Linked DNA regions of Rattus norvegicus. The protein of the gene in region 2 binds, or shares a complex with, the protein of the main gene of each other region. Links are inferred from orthologs where the notes say so. Each region holds a gene or a part of one and is shown on either strand. Other genes may lie near its edges.

Region 1 (4,223 bases), on a different chromosome or scaffold from region 2:
TCATTCCAAAGGGGTAAAAGTCAGCAAGCATTGTACATCTCTAAATGCTGCCACCGAGCTAAATGCTATCTATACAAGACTGTCTAGCATGCCATGGGGCGCATATTTTTAAACCCAGCACTAGAGAGGCAGAGCTGGTCAGGGCTACACAATGAGACCCTGTCTCAAAAATCAAATCAAAACCAACTCAGCTCCAACCCCTCCCCTGCAGTGTCATCTCCTTACAACCAGGAAGCAAGCACTCCTCATCAAAATCCAAAGACTGCTAGGCACCGTAGCCTTTAATGCCACTGCTCAGGAGGCAGAGGCAGGGGCATCTCAGTGAGTTCCAGAACAGTGAGACCCTACCTCTGAAACAAACGACTATGTCTGGAAGCTCTATAGAGGCAGGCTGAGAATGCCCGGGCATGCAGTGACTACATAAGAAGGGTAAATGAACGAGTATTTGCAGCAGACCTTCCCAAGTATCCCAGAGCTAATTCAAGCTGCAAGACAGCTTCTACCTCTAAAGCGAGGCTTGGAGACTCAGTGCCTTTCCTGCTTCTGAAAGCAAGCAGCTTGGTGTTTGCAATATGACCACAGGCTTTTCCCTCAGGAGAACAAGATTAATGTCAGTTAAAAAGTCTGCTTCCTCCCCAAGTAAATCAGAGCTAAACGTACCTGCTATGGTCACATGTGCTCTGAGCTGCTAGAAGCATGGCACTTTACTGACTCTGGAGTAAATTACAGTTCTCTCTCCCACACCTTAGGAATGATTTTTTTTTTCTTTTTTGAGACATGCTCTTACTATGTAGCCTTAGCTGTCCTGGAACTCACTATGTACAATGGGTTAGCCTTGAAATCCCAGAGATCAACCTGTCTCCGCCTGGCCAGTGCTGGCCACTAATCTCTGTTTCTTAAAAGTTATCTGTTCAAGTGGAAACAATTCCACTCAGGGCTGACCAAGATCTTTTCTGATTTTTGTTACACCAGATACAGAGGGACACACACCAATAAATCCCAGCACTCAGGAGGTTAAGGATGCAAGGTCATGGGTTTGGGGATCACTTAAAGAGGTTCAAGGTATATGTATATGGACCACATGGAGAAACTGTTTCAAGAAAAAAGGAAGAGGAAAGAAAGATTATAACCTGCTGGAAAAAAAGCAGATAAGAAAGCCGTCTTCAGCAACTTAAACAGCTGCCCCCTCAGCAGGATCTCCACTGTCTTTCCCATCTTAAACACAGCTCTCCCCAATGAATGCAGCTTCCTCTTGCCTGGGCCATTTGAAAGGTCTTTCAGGGCATTTATGTCTTTCTACTATCCTTTCTCTAGACCTGCCAGGCTAGATCCTCTGCCAGCTTTTCTTCTAGATGTTTGCTTTGATTTTTTTTTTTTTGCCCCCTTCCTTGTTTGGTTGGTTTTTTGTTTGTTTTCTGAGACAGGGTGTGATGCTGTAGCACAGGCTGTCCCGGAACTCATTAGGTAGCCAGGGCTGGCCTTAAAACTGCCATTCTCCTGCCCCTTCTTTCTGGAGTAGTAGGATCACAGCCCTAACTACCACACAAAGCCTTCTGGATTGCTGTCTTTTGGTGTTGGCAAAGTCCCCTTATTCTGTGCCTTCCAATTGCACAAGATTTCAGGACGGCCAGGCCCAGTTGCAAGCGATTGGTTAGGAGTCCTGCCTCATGATCAGCGATCTATAGACTGCAGGGGCTGCTTATCCTCTAGCCAAAGGCCAGCCCCCGGGTCACCAAAAGAAGGCAAAGTTCTAAGATTAGAAACGAAAAGCCAGTTCCCTTCATTAAGGCACCAAAGAACGCTTTCCAAGCTCCTCCCTCTTAGAGAACAGCCCAGAAAGGAGACAAACAACCTTTGCGCTTCCTCCTCGTGACCAATTCAACTTGCTTTACCTCTTCTCCAGTGATAGTACACAGTTCCCGGCCATCTTTCGAAAAGCAACTTCAGGAACCTCCCTTTGCCTAGGATCAAGCAACCTAACCCGACTAGGGTGTGCTGTCTGACAAAGCACCTTCAAAGCCGCTCCTCGAAAGCCCTGGTCTGAAACCTGACAGCGCCTCTACTAAAGCCATCAACTTCTTGGATACCAAAGGAGCTATTTTACACGCCCCACTTGTGAGAGTTGGGGCTCCCCCCAACCTGTGAATGACTCCTCCAACAAAGTAAACAATGCTGTCAAAGGAGGTTAACACTGGGCGAGGCATGCAAAGTGCATGCCAGCCTGGTCTCGGGACTCTAAGCGCAGCCAGAAGTCATCTTACGCTTCCGCGCCTCCCTTCCCTAATGCCCGTAGGACAACTCTAGAGGTAAGCTCCGCCGCGCAGAGTGCACGGTCTGCAGCCCACTGTCCGGGCGGCGGAGAGGAAGCTGTTGGTCCAGCGTGTAGTGTGCCACGCGCCAGCAGTGATGGCGGGCAGGCCGGGCGCCGCTCACCTCCCGGTGTTGTGGAGAACAGCGTCCCCCCGGGCGTGGTGCAGTAGTCCTGAGGTAGCTGCGCTGCGTCGCTAATAGCCACGGTGCGTGTCGGAATGGCGCGGCTCTGGCTGGGCTGGTGTCCACCACCGGCCGACGCGGACATGGCTCCGGGGCGGGCTCGTGGCTTTGTGCAGCGGCGGCGGCGGCGGCGGGGCCCGGGCGGCTGTGGCTCCTCGCGCTTGGCTCTCAGCGCTCTCGCTCGGTCCTGTTGCGCTCCTGCTCCCGCCGCCGCCGCCGCCGCCGCCGCCGCCGCCCGGTCCTCCGGCCTCCGCCTGCAGCCTCAGCAGCAGCAGCAGCAGCAGGAGCAGCGGCAGCAGCGGCAACGATGACTACCGGAAGCGGGCGAAGGCGGGAGCAAGGGGTAGTAGAGGGAGGGAAATATGGAGACCGGACATGACGCTAGAGGGCGTGTCTAGGGATGGTGGGCGGGGCTGAGGGCGGGGCTGAGGAAGACCTAGGCTAGAGGTAGAGGGTAAACCCGGAAATCCGAGAAAAAGGAAATGGTCAAAGGTGGAGCCTTAGGGTCTGGTGGGCGGGACTTGGAGGGGCGGGTCTGAGCTCTGTGGAACGGAATAGAGTTGACGCGAAGCTGAGTGTAGGTGATTAAGGGAGGCGGGGAAAACTTGTTTGTGGCGTATATGTCAACTATCTACTTTCCCGGTGCCTACTTCAGTTTCCCATCTATATCTAACCATTAAAAGCATAACGCTGGGGGGCAGGGAGGGCGGCAAAAAAAAAAAAAAGCATAATTCTGGGGAGCCGGTAAGATGGCTCAGCGGGTAAAGAAAGGTACTTGTCACCAAGCCTGCCGAGTTCCATCCCCAGATTCCAGCCAGTTGTCCTCTGACTTCTCCACACAGCCCATGAGCACCCATTCGCCCGCCCATAAATAAATAAATGTAATAAAAATATTTTAAGGAGTATAAATTTAGTTTTAATTATTATTAAATAAAAGCAATGCATGTATGATGAACTAAGGGTTAAAAAATCAAGGACTCTGGGGTTGGGGATTTAGCTCAGTGGTAGAGCGCTTGCATAGCAAGCTCAAGGCCCTGGGTTGGTCCCCAGCTCTGAAAAAAAGAAAAGAAAAAAAAAATCAAGGACTCTGAGGAAGGGCTCAGCAGTTAAGAGCACTTGATGCTCTTGCAGAGCACCAAGAGGACCAGAGTTCAGTTCCTAGCACACATGTGGTGGCTCAGAACCATTCATAACTGCTACAGTTTCAGGAATTTGACCTATCTCATTTTCTGATTTTTGTAACACCAGGCACGCGCGCACACACACACACACACACACACACACACACACACACACACACACACACAATGCATATACATACATGCAGACAACACACTACAAGAAAATAGGATGGTTAGGAGTTTAAGGCCCATCTATATTGCACAGCTAGTTTGATGCCAGCGAGGGATTCAAGAGACTGTCTGAAAAAGTCATGAAAAGTACAAGATGAGACGGGTCACCTGCTTGCTGTGTAAACATCACGACTTGAGTTCAATCCTTATCACCCACATTTAAATTTTTTTTTCTAAAGCCCAGATATTCCAGCACTTGGGAGGCAGAGGCAGGTGGATCTCTGAATTTGAGGCCAGCCTGGTCTACAGGGTGAATTCCAGAACAGCCAGGACTACACAAAGAAACCTTGTTTTGAAAAGCCAACAAACAAACAAACACCCAAAACAAAAAAACAAAAGCCCAAGGCCATATATGAAATATCCCCACGCTGTGAAGAG
Region 2 (7,613 bases):
TAGACAGTGAGCAGGAACGTTTTTATATAGATCAGAGCAGGTATGTTTAGTTTCAACCATAGTCAAAAAGTCTAGCAAAAACAATCACTTCAGTCATCTAAACCAGGGAACTAAAACTCCAAAGACAAAGTACGTGACGTTTGAAGTCTTAATGTGAGTTAAAGTATAAAGAGTGGCAACATACCAGCTGGAGGAATGTGTTATATTGAGAAACTATCTTCACTATTTACTAAAGCTTTATAATATTCAATCAGATCAGGATTATAAGGAATAGTTATAGTGACAGTACGTTGGGCCAAAGTAGTTGTGTGTGATCCAGACAACCCCATCATATAGGCCAGCATCATAGCCTCTCTTATTCAGTAGCTTGACTTTTTAAATCAAACTTTTGTTTTCTTTTTATCTTTTGGCTTTTTGAGATCAGGTTTCTCTGTGTAACTGAGCCTTGGCTGTCCTGGACTTGATTTGTAGACCAGGCTGGCCTTGAACTCAGAGATCCACCTGCCTTTATTTCCTGAGCACTCTGACTAAAGGCATGTGCCACTACATGCACAAGCCCGGGTGTGGTAGTGAGGTGATGACTGGGCCCAGCTATCCCTTTAGTTCCAGCTTCTTTGGAAGACTGGGTAAGAGGATCCTTTGAGTGTATGAGTTCAAGACTGCCTTGGACAGCATAGACTCTAACCTCACAAATATGTGATAAGTAAGCAAAATGAAAGTGATTGCATACAGGCAGACATAACACATAAAATCTAGCCTCCAGATATTTGACAGGATGAAATCCTAAGTGTCGACACTAGGCAAACACATCTGAAATGGTAAAAATAGTCAATAAATCACATACAGATATAGAGATCAATTAAACTATATAGAATGGGGCATACTATGAAAGCACACATCTTTTTGTGGGGCACAGGGGTACTGGGAATTGCATCCAGTCTTAAGCAAACTAGGCAAACATTCTACCCCTGAGTTACACACCCTAGCCCAAAATATGAGTCTTCAGTAACAATAGAGGAGGAAGGTTGAAAAAAAAAAAACAATACAAACAAATGTTATTTAAAACAAAAATTTTATATTGGTGGCTTTCAGGCTCGTCAGGATATTTTCTTGCCAATGGATTGGTTTTTGCTGTAATCTTGCAGCTCAAAACAGGATATTTATGCTGTCTTTTCCTTTCTTTGGATAGAGATTCTCCTGTTTCTTTGGCTGGCCTGGAACTTGGCATGTCACTGAGTTTAAACTCCGGATCCTCCAGCAAGCTGGGTTTATGTGGTGTTGTGGGATCTAAAACAGGGCTCTGGGCTATATGAGTACTCTATCAACGGAGCTACAAATCAGCCTCCTAGTGCTGTCTTTTCATAGGAATTAACCAGACATCACTTTACAGACAACAGAAAATAAGGGGTCAATTGTAATCACTTCGGTTAGTGTAACAGATTTGTACAGAGAAATTCACCTATGTTTAGTTTGCAGAACTGTGTCAACTTTAGAATCTACTCCTGCTGACTAAGCAAAAGCTTTCGTGTAAATCGCTTCTGCCATCCTGGTAAACAAAAAAACACAGAGCCCCGCAGTGGCTCTGAGTTCTTACACAGCCTCAATTATGTGTTAGTCAACCCAAGCATCCATTATGTACTCAATAATAGTTAATAGCTGTGACACAGCTCGGGACAACACTAATGCCATGGAGAGGCCGGCGCAGAGATAGCCTGCTTTTCCTGGTGGTAACATTCTTAAGCTTCCTGGAAACAGCTACGAGATCCTGTCTTCCTCATTAGAACCTTTACTCAACACGGTCTTGGTCTTGAGAAACGATGGCCCAGTAACTTAGAAGAAAATGTGGCATGCCAGTGTAGGGGCAAATTTCTGCTTGTTAGAAGTTGTTATGAACATAATTTCATGAACATGAAGTTTCTGTTGGGAGCAGCGACATTCGTAAAGAAAAGCAAAGTCTTGAAACTTTAAAACTGCATTGGTGTACGTAACAAAGTAAACAAAAGAAAAATTTAAAACATTGTTAAGGGTTGGGGATATAACTCAGTTGGTAGAGTGCTTATTTAGCACTCCGAAGCCCCGAGTTCCATCCCTCTCAGCAAAAAAGGGCTCTCCCCGCCCCCACTACCAGCACGTGCCAGTAATCCCAGTACTTTGACAGGGAGGTGGAGGCAGGAGGATCAACAGTTCAAGACCATCCTCCCCTACATCTTAAGTTCAAAGCCACCGTGCGCTACAGGAGACCCAGGGTCAAGAAAAAAAATTGTTAAAACAGCAGCGGAGGCGGAGGCAGCCGGTGCTTAGAAGGCACGCGCTTGCTTCTAGATTCCGAAGCGTTTTCAAAGCTGGTTACAGTCCTTACCACAGCACACCCTTGTGAGGTAAGTGTATTATCATCTTTGGTTCATAAATGAAAAAGCTGAGGCGCTGAGTGATTAAGTCACTCGCCTAAGGAGCATGAGTCAACGTCAAGAGTCATAGTTGACCCGGCTTAACGACTCCTGACCCTCAGTCCAGGGCTGAGTCAGCGGAGCCCGGAGTGGCTTCCCTGGCTGGCACCTGGACGTAGGCTATTTCCGTTCACGTCCAAGCAGAATACTGGAACCGATTGGACAGAACTTTCCAAACTTTTTACGTCCAGCAAGATTCACCCCTGACGCCTTCATCTCAGGACTGGGAACAGGAAAAGCCGACGCGTGCACTCCCCTTCCCCAAGCGTGTGAGTGGGTACCGTGGGCAAGCCCGCCCACCCGCTTGGGCAGCGATGGCAGCAAGGGACCACCCGCGTTAGTGGACCGGGGACGGGGGAACGCAGACCTCATCAACGACTCTCCATCGCCGCCTCTTTCTGAAACCAAGAGAAAATGGTGGGAGGCGAAAAGAAAACTAAATAAAAACACAAGCAACTTGTCTTAGGACCTCAGCTAAGCAAATGAAGCCTTCTTGCGTGTGCTGAGCCTGCAGTTCTCAACCTTCTAGGAAAGATGGGAGGACTGGGCGACAGAGGGCACAGCAGGAATGCCCAGCAGTGAGAGCAACCGGAGCTCTGCCCGCTGCACCGCAGAGGCCTAAAACCTACTCTGCAGGAAGTGCGGGCGGCGCTGGGAGCCGCGCACCCTCGCCAGCGACCACGTGATCACTTTTTTTTTTTTTTGGGAGAAAAAACTTCCTTGCCTTAAGAGAAAAAAAAAAAAAAAAAAAGAGACTCCACTTCCCAGAAGCCTCTTGTTCCCCAAGCAGCTGCAGTCTTGCGCAGGCGCCGCCAGGGCCAAACGGACACGTCCGTCACGTGGGCAGGAGCCGGCCAATCCGGTTTGAATCTCATTTTTTTCCTCTCGCCCCCCCTTCAGGAGCGGTTGTGCGATCAGATCGATCTAAGATGGCGACTGTGGAACCGGTGAGTATTGCCTTCGGCCCCCACCCCCGAGGTCCCCGCGCTCTGGCTTCCTCCGCTCAGGGACTGTCCGCAGGACGGCGTTCCCGGCGCGCACAGCGCCTCCGGCCGCGTCCTGCCCCTTTCCCACCGGCCTGACCTTCCGCGGGCAGCCTCGGCGCCGGGAGGCTGGCGGCGGCAGCGTGGAGCGCACACGCCGTGTGGGGGCCCGGGCACCGGGTCGGTGGGGGAGGGGCGCCGCGCGGCCCTGCGGTGCGGCCGGCGGAGGGCGGCTCGGGCCGCCAGCGCGGGATCGGTCTGGGGTCCCGGTGGGCGTGGGGCGGGCGGCTCCTAGCGGGCACCGTGGTTGGCGGGGCGGGTGGGCGGCGAGCTGGCCTGAAAGAGTCAGAGGGAGCCTGAGGCAGCGGCGCCTCGCCGTCGCCCGCGCCCCGCCGCCGGGGTCCTCGTGCGGGCCGCGCTCTCAAGCTGTGGAGGAGGGTGGGTTGGCGGAGCCGGTGGGCGCGCGGGGCCGGGCGGGCGGGGCGCGGCAAGAAGGGGAGCGCGTCCCGCGGGGAGCTGGGGGCTGTGGCGTTGAGTGGAGAGCACGCCCAGGGGTCGTGTCGCGCACCTCCGGGGGCCGGGGAAGGGGGCCGGCCGAGAAGGTGATCACATTGTCCTGGCCCCTCCACGCCGGGACTGGGCTGTCATGGAGGAGGGAAGGGGGAGGAGCGAGGCCTACAGTTCGCTCCAGCGGGTCGGCTGGCCGTAGACCTGCATTTCACACGCGCCGGGCTTCCATTCATTCATCCTCCCGGCGCAGTGCGCACGCCTCCGAGGACCGTGTAGATTCTTCTACTCTTACGCGAGGAGATCGTCTGGGAGATACTCAAGGAACACTAATTTTGGAAATAGGAACTTTGGAGATTATCTTTTCTTTAATTAAAGGAAGGAAAATTAAGCGTGGGGGCAGCGGCGCGAGCCAGGGCTTGAGTGTGAAGGTCAGAGGGCAGCTTTTGGAGTCCTGAGAATCGAAATTCAGGAGCCTTTTCCGAACCATCACTTAAGCGCCTCAACATCTGCTTTTCCACTGATGATTCCTCCTCACTCTACACTGCTTCCCTCTTAATTAAAGCGCTATTTTGAAGTTAATTGAAGCAAGATGCACAGAGAGCATCACGTAGGTAAACCCGGTAGCCAGAAGGTGGTGATTTTTTTTGTTGTTGTTTTTGTTGTGGTTTGGGTTTGCCGGCAGCTGGCTCACTGGTCTTCCATCCCAGATTTTTAAAGAATGTCACACCTGTGTGATAAAAATCTCAGGTGCAAAAAGGCATAGACTAGCAACCAGAAACCTTTGTATACCACCTTTGCCAGATATTTTTAAAACTCACCCATAGACTGAATAATTTTGATTAGTTTGCAAAACAGCCTTATCTTGGCAGAATTCAAGACTACTTTTTTGTGGGTGGAGGCATGATTTACTTGTTCCTTATTGACATCAGCTTTCCTGCATTTTGCAAAGCTGCCTAATAAGTTGTTAGTGAAATTAACTAACTTTAGAATATCAATGTAAGAACAGGAGGGGAAGCATTTAAATTTAACTTAAACTCTTGACAAGTTCTGCCGTCTACTTCTGACTGAATCTTCTACCTTTCTCTACCAGTATTAGAGGAAAATATTACAGGTAATAATAGAGGCAAAACTAAAAAGACCTAAGTAATAAAACAGCAGTGTGAACTATGACTCTCAGTTCCATTTAAGTCTTGGATTGTGCTAAAGCCACAATGTAGTCATTGGATTTTGTTCTGAGTCAGCTCAGAGTTGCTGATACCTTTTGGGTGGTTACCAAGTGATATTTAGAATACAAAGTTATATAAAATGCGGTCTGTGCTTTGTGAGCTCTTATGGAGCCTAACTGCCAGTGTCAGGCTCAGAGGTGAGATACTCTTCCTACTGATGACCCTGTTGATGTGCATAGTGTGTGTAAATTTAAGGACAAGAGAAGCCTAGAAGCCTAACATGTGAAGGGTGGAACTTGGGTTGAAACTAGTTGGAGACAGTGTGCAAAGTGACACTGAGGTGCTCATTTTCTGTTTACTGTTAGCACACCCTTGCTTAGAGGCTAGTCATACAGTATTTTAATATTTGTAAGATTTTTTTTTGGAGCTGGGCGGTGGCTGCGGGCTACTTTCATCCCAGCACTAGGGAGACAGAGGCATTTCTTTGAGTTTGAGCCCAGCTTGTTCTACAGAGCTAGTTCCAGGATTCCCTCCAAACTGAAAAGATTTGGTTTGGATGCTTGATTTGTAGCTCAGGACCTGGTGCATTTACTAAGTTTATTCTAGCACTAAACTACACCAGTACGTTGTTTTTGAAGTACTTTATTCAGAGGCTTGGCAGAAAGGTTGTATGTAGAAGCCCACGTTGTCTGCTGTCCTGTGCAGGGCAGACCTTAGAGGTATCCCCATGGCTTAGAGCACACTAGTACTTTTTAAAAACAGATGATTTAGTCTACTATTGGATTACAGTTGAAGCTTGTAAAAATTAAAAATCTTATTTGGTCATTGCTATTTTTATTTAGCTTATGAGCTTTTGTGAGTTTTTTGTTTGTTTTGGTAGAGTATTTAATTGTAAACACTTAGAACACTGGTTCTCAACCTGTGGGGTGTGACCCTTTCGGGGGGGGGGGTGTCTAAGGACTGAGCTGCCTAAGACCACCAGAAAATACAGATATTTACATTGATTCATAACAATAGCAAAATTAGTTAGAAAGTAGCAGTGAAAATGGTTTTATTGTATTGGGACCACTATAACATGAGGAACTGCATTAAAGGGTCACAGCTTTAGGAGGGTTGAGAACCACTGACTTGGAGAGTCATGAGCTGTTGATTTTTCTCCCCCTACATATCCAACCTTTTGTAAGCACTTGCCAGATTTTTAGTCTATGGAGTTTCCATAAAGTAATTTTCAATTTGATGCTACATGGTTTTAAGTATTCGAGCTTAGTTATGTAAGTAATGGGTTACAAATATAAATTGAGAAGTTCAAAGGGGAACATTAAGGGAAGTACATTGCTCCACAGAACTTGTGGCAAAGGCTACACTCATGTTAAGCTGGGAATTGTGGCACGGTCAAGATTAGACTCTGGTAAAACTGTCCTCAGCCATGTTTCTAGTGACTCGTGCTTCTTTTAGATAGCTCGCTTTTCTTCTGCTCTGTTTTTCCTTGTTATTAGAGAATACTTTACATTAGTCTTTAATTAGAGGATAATTTCTTGTGGTTTTTACTTTTGGGTTTGTGTAGCCATTGTTGGCTTGGAACTTACTATTTATTTGGACCAGACTGGTTAGCCAAAAATTTGAGGTGGGGGTGGGAGTTCTTCCTATACTTTCTCAGTGTTGGGATTTACAGGTATACAGCACCACACCTAGTCCAGATAGTTCTTTCTTTTTCTTTTCTTTTTTTTTTTCCGGAGCTGGGGACCGAACCCAGGGCCTTGCGCATGCTAGGCAAGCGCTCTACCACTGAGCTAAATCCCCAACCCCCAGATAGTTCTTTCTTTATGCTTAGAAACCTGCTTTTAAAATAAGACTTAAAACACAAGAGAAGCCTGCTGTGGTCGTGCACACCTGAAATCTGAGCACTCAAGAGTAGAGGCAACAGAATTTTGAATTTTGCTTAGCCTACAGCAAATAAAATTGAGCACAAAAAGGTCCAGTGAGATAGATGGCTTAGGGGTAAAGATGTTTGTTGCCAAGCCTGAGGATCTGAGTTGGAGTGCTAGAACCCTCATGGTGCAAATAGGACCTCTTGTAAAGTTGTTCTCTGACCTCCAGGTCCACACCAAGACAAACACACACACACACATAGTAAATAAATATACATTTAAAAAGCTTTAAAAGGGGCTAGAGAGGTGGCTCATCAGTTAAAGCACCTCAAGAGGACTTTTCCCAGCCCCCACATGGCAGGTAGCTCACAACTGTCTGACAGGAGTTCAGGAGAACCTTCACACCAGGCACACACATGCTGCACAAATCTGTGTGTGCCGGCACACTGCCCATACACATGGGAAGAAAAGCTTTGAAAGAAAACAGGAGCACCAAATACTATAAAATGTAGTATGTTTATCAATATAAAGCTGATGGTTTGGTAAGCAGACTTTGACAATTTTTTTTCCCTTTAGTGAGGAACCCATTTAGTTTATTACTAATCCAAACTTTTGTTTGGATGTTTATTCCAAATTTCA
Region 3 (4,300 bases), on a different chromosome or scaffold from region 2:
CCAGTATTGAAACTTAGTCCCTAGGCTATGGTCCTGTAGAAGTGGAGGAAGTGGAAGCCTGTGTTTTGTATTTTGCTGTACCAAGGAATCAACATGTTACATTTGTATTATTATTATGGTTTAGTGTTTGTTGATTTTTATCCTCTTGTTACGAATATGTAGAGAGGCTATAAGGATTATACATTTAAATAAGTTTAACATCTCATATTTTGTAATAAACCTAAGGTGGTTAAAACACTGATATGTATCTACTGTAAATAAAATTACATAAGTTACTTAATAAAGATTTATTTTTGTTTAGTTGGGGAAGGCAAACTGGTGTGGGAGTTGGGTATGATGGTGAATGCCTGTAATTTCATCACTTGAGAGATGGAGACACGATCCGGAGTTCAAGGCTAGCCTGGGTTACATTAGTTACTGTCAGACCCCAACAACAGACAAAATGTTAAAATTCTTGGCAGTAAGGAGGGTCGTCAGGAGTGGAGAAGGGTAGGTCGTTTGGAGTTAGTTGTCTCCCTAAGTTCAGCAATACCATATTACTTAACCTTTCCCTCTTTTTCTTGGGGTCAAGGAAGGGCAAATTCAAGTCATGTTTTCTTTTGTCAGCCATTCCTGGGAGTGTGAACTTGTGTTTGCCGGTGCTCAGAAGGCAGATTAGATGGTAGGTAGCACTGTTATTTCAGGGGATACTTACTTGGGTCTGGAGTATATACATGCTCCTCCAGACTTGCTCCCACCATTTAACACATATAGGCGCCCCCTTCTCTGTCATGGTTGTACCTTCTGTGTCTCTTTTTAAGTTTAACCAGAGGCAGGACAGGAGGGCAATGAAAACTTGGGGAGGAAGATAAACTCCATCACTCATGGATTTACTGAGGCTTCTCACCAACACTGATGACAAGTTATAGTAAAATGAACCACCACGTTGTTCTTGCAGAAAAATCGAGGTTGGATTCCCATAACCCATGTAATCGGCTCACTTGCTGGGGGATCCAGCGCCCTTTTCGGACCTTTGCGGGCTCCAGGCACTCTCGTGGTGCACATACACACAAGTAAGCCAAACAAACGTTCATACTCAAAATAAAATGAACTTTTAAAAAAAAGTATCCTTAGTGAAATTTCCAGCTCTATACTGGCTAGTCCTGAAATTCTTTCCAGGATGATGGACCTTAGTCTCAGCAGAGGTCCCCCAAATCACGGAAAACTCGGGAGGCTGGTGAGCCAGGCGGTGTGGAGCTGAGTCTCCATCCTCTCCCAGCGGGCTTGACGGGTGGAGTCCACCAAGCAAATCCCGGCTTGCTTTGCTGCGGTGATCTGAGCAGCAGGCGGCAGGCGGCAGGCGGGGCTACGGTACGGGAGACTTGGAGAGACTTGGGGGCCGACCGGGCCTGCCTGGAGGAGCCGGTCCCAAGGCGGCCAGCGGGAGGAGGGAGGAGCGCCGGGAGGAAGAGGCCGAGCCGCGGAGCGCCGCCCCGGAGGAAGGGGAGGAGGCCGGGTGTTTCCTGGTGCATTCCCGACCCGCCCGAGTGACTCACTGGGGTAGGAAAGCTCCCGGGCCGCCCTGGACAACCGAAGGCGGCTCAGACCAGGTAAGGGCGGTCGCCTGGCCTCGGGGTCCTTGCTCTACTCGTAGTCTGGTGGGGCGAGCCTGCAGACGGTCTCTGCACAGCCTCCGGGACCGCACGGCCTCCCGGGATTGCCTTCTGGGCTCTGGAGTCTCCGGGTCTCTGCATGGCAGCTCCCGAGCCCGGGACTCCCGGCCCAGCTCGGCGGCTCCACGGCTCCCTCCCGGGAATCACATTCCAGAATCCCCGGGCCGTGGGCTCCCCAGTGCTAAATCCCTGTTCCCTCTGCGGTGCGCAACCGGCACTCCGGTGGCCCGGCCCCCGGGTCCCGAACCCCCAAACCCCCGCCCCGACTCACCCTGGATCCTTGGATCCCAGAGGATCCCAGATCTCGAGCTTCCGGCACGAGGTTTAGCTCCAAAGAGGAAGAGACAACGTTAATGCTTAGTATTTTACTGTTGAAAAGTAAGGATCGGCGGATAGTTAATGTTGCACTAAAGTGGCAAAACAAACCCGAGTCCACCATGGTTCTGCCTTCAGAGGAAAGGAAGGAGAGTGTAGTCTAGGGAAGTCGGTTCTCAAGATTCTTGGAGAGAGGCATTTTGGGCTTTGTTAAGGAAACGGGATTGTTCCGGAGCAGTAGTGCGCCGCCGCACATTCATACCGAATTTTGTACTTTAAGCCTAAAGCATCTGCGTAATTTGCAACATTTCGTGAGTGTGAGGAAAGAAGGAAGAGATTTGCAGCTGGGGATTGGTGAGGGGGCTAGGCAGAGGGAAGCATCGGGCAATCCGTGTGTTTACACGGGACAGTACAAGGGTGATCCTCGAGATTTCTCTTGGTTGTCTGCTAACCGATCGCTTAGTTGAGTCGTGTTTGAAGCACCACTGAGACCAGGGTACTCCTGCAGGTACTGTTACTGAGGTCTGTGCTTGCCAAGGTGGGGGGTATTGTTCCTAGACCCTCGCCAAGTTCATTGGTTGGAAGTTGAAGCACATTGATAAATTGCTTCAGTTGAAAGGTTCCTCTAAGAAATACAGCCACTAGACTAAGTGTTTGTGTATTTGAGGAAGTGTGCATTAAGGCTTTTTTTAGAAATAAACACTGTATATGTGTGTATGTTGTTTGTGTGTTCTTCTATGTGGGTGCTCAGGTGTGAATGTGTTTGCATGTGCGTGTAGAGGCCCAAGGCTGATTTGGAGTTTTCCACCTTATTCTTTGATACAGGGTCTCTCAGCTGAACCCAGAGTTCACTGATTGGAGTAGTCTTGCTAGCCAGTTTGCTCCGGAGATGCCCTGTCTCCGCCTTGGGAGCACTGGGACTTCAAGGAGGTTGCCATGCCCATTGACATTTCTGTGGGTTCTGGAGATCTGAACAGAACTGTACTCATGTTTGTGTGGCAGATGGCTAGCCACTGAGCCATCTCCCTGGCACGGGAGCGGATTTTTACCTTTACATATAGTCAAATTCATGCTTTGGAGTGTTGACTGCCACTGTAATTAAGGTGTAAAACCGGTTCCTATCACCCCGAGATTTTCTTTCCTGTGTCCCTTGGAGTTAGCTCGTTCCTATCTTCAACTCTTGGCAACCATTGATCTTCTCAGTGCTATTTTGCTTCCTCCACAAAGTTCTGTGGTAATCTTGGAGTCCTCATTTTAAGATGGTTCTATGCCCTCAGTGAAACATTTGGGGGTGTTGGGGAGGAGATTGCTACATTTAAGGCCATCCAAGATATTTTAACAGCCAAACATCGTTAAGTGAGAAATGTATGATAATATATGTAATATTATTTGTGTTACAAAAACGCTACTCAATGTCTGTAAGAAGTAAGGCCAATGCTTTGGAAAGTAGAGCCTTGGGAAGGTGGAGTGGCTTAGTGGGTATAGGTGGCACAAGTGGGTATAGGTGGCACACAGTGGGTGTAGGTGGCACACAGTGGGTGTAGGTGGCACACAGTGGGTGTAGGCGGCACACAGTGGGTATAGGTGGCACAAATGGGTATAGGTGGCACACAGTGGGTATAGGTGGCACACAGTGGGTGTAGGTGGCACAAGTGGGTATAGGTGGCACACAGTGGGTGTTGGTGGCGCAAGTGGGTATAGGTGGCACAAGTGGGTATAGGTGGCACACAGTGGGTATAGGTGGCACACAGTGGGTATAGGTGGCACACAGTGGATATAGGTGGCACACAGTGGGTATAGGTGGCACACAGTGGGTATAGGTGGCAGACAGGTCTGACAACCTGAATTACAACCCACAGTGGGAGAAGACTAACTCCTGAAAATTACCCTCTGATGTCCACAGGGATGTGGTAATTTGTGCCCAAATACATACCCTGCTTTCCCCCATGAACACACACCATACACAAATAATAAATAAGTAAGTACTCTTTAAAAGGAAAACATGTCATTCTGGATACAACCTGGAAGAAAGACTAAAATGCGGTTTCTTTTCTCTTTCCCTTTATCTTACCATTTCCAAAATGGCTCTTTAAATATCTACTTGACTTGTGTTTGTTGTGGCCTGCATGAGTTTGTGTGCACCAAATGCATGCAGGATTCTGTGGAGACCAGAGACAGTATGGGATCTCTTGGAGCAGGAGTTACAGGCTGTTGTGAACGTCCATGTGGGCGCTGGGAACTGAGCTCTAGGTCCTCTTGAAAAGCTTGTAATTGAAGAACCATCTCCATCCAGCACGGTTTCATTGTGTGGCCCAGACAGCCTTGAATTCATG

What was found. Proteins that work in one complex are often made in the same cells at the same time.
Region 1: the proteins of Eif4e (region 2) and Eif4ebp2 are in contact, whole or in part, in a crystal structure (PDB 3AM7), measured with the Homo sapiens proteins. The link is inferred for Rattus norvegicus from reciprocal best matches to the Homo sapiens genes EIF4E and EIF4EBP2. Residues at the interface, in NP_001959.1 of Homo sapiens: His37, Pro38, Leu39, Gln40, Val69, Trp73, Tyr76, Asn77, Leu131, Glu132, Leu135, Ile138, Gly139, Glu140, Ser141, Asp143, Asp144, Ser146, Asp147, Arg186; in NP_004087.1 of Homo sapiens: Pro47, Thr50, Arg51, Ile52, Ile53, Tyr54, Arg56, Phe58, Leu59, Leu60, Arg62, Arg63, Asn64.
Region 3: Eif4e (region 2) and Cyfip1 share a complex: the UniProt entries of both Homo sapiens proteins name them as parts of the CYFIP1-EIF4E-FMR1 complex. The link is inferred for Rattus norvegicus from reciprocal best matches to the Homo sapiens genes EIF4E and CYFIP1.

What each region holds. Positions count from the first base shown.
Region 1 is NC_086038.1:29,940,123-29,944,345, forward strand, and holds the start of Eif4ebp2 (eukaryotic translation initiation factor 4E-binding protein 2), read right to left. Parts: upstream 2,801-4,223; 5' UTR 2,579-2,800; coding exon 2,434-2,578; intron 1-2,433.
Region 2 is NC_086020.1:229,737,390-229,745,002, forward strand, and holds the start of Eif4e (eukaryotic translation initiation factor 4E), read left to right. Parts: upstream 1-3,363; 5' UTR 3,364-3,376; coding exon 3,377-3,394; intron 3,395-3,796; exon of another isoform or gene 3,797-3,868; intron 3,869-7,613. UniProt on the Homo sapiens protein: Acts in the cytoplasm to initiate and regulate protein synthesis and is required in the nucleus for export of a subset of mRNAs from the nucleus to the cytoplasm which promotes processes such as RNA capping, processing and splicing.
Region 3 is NC_086019.1:115,845,320-115,849,619, forward strand, and holds the start of Cyfip1 (cytoplasmic FMR1-interacting protein 1), read left to right. Parts: upstream 1-1,500; 5' UTR 1,501-1,589; intron 1,590-4,300. UniProt on the Homo sapiens protein: Component of the CYFIP1-EIF4E-FMR1 complex which binds to the mRNA cap and mediates translational repression. In the CYFIP1-EIF4E-FMR1 complex this subunit is an adapter between EIF4E and FMR1.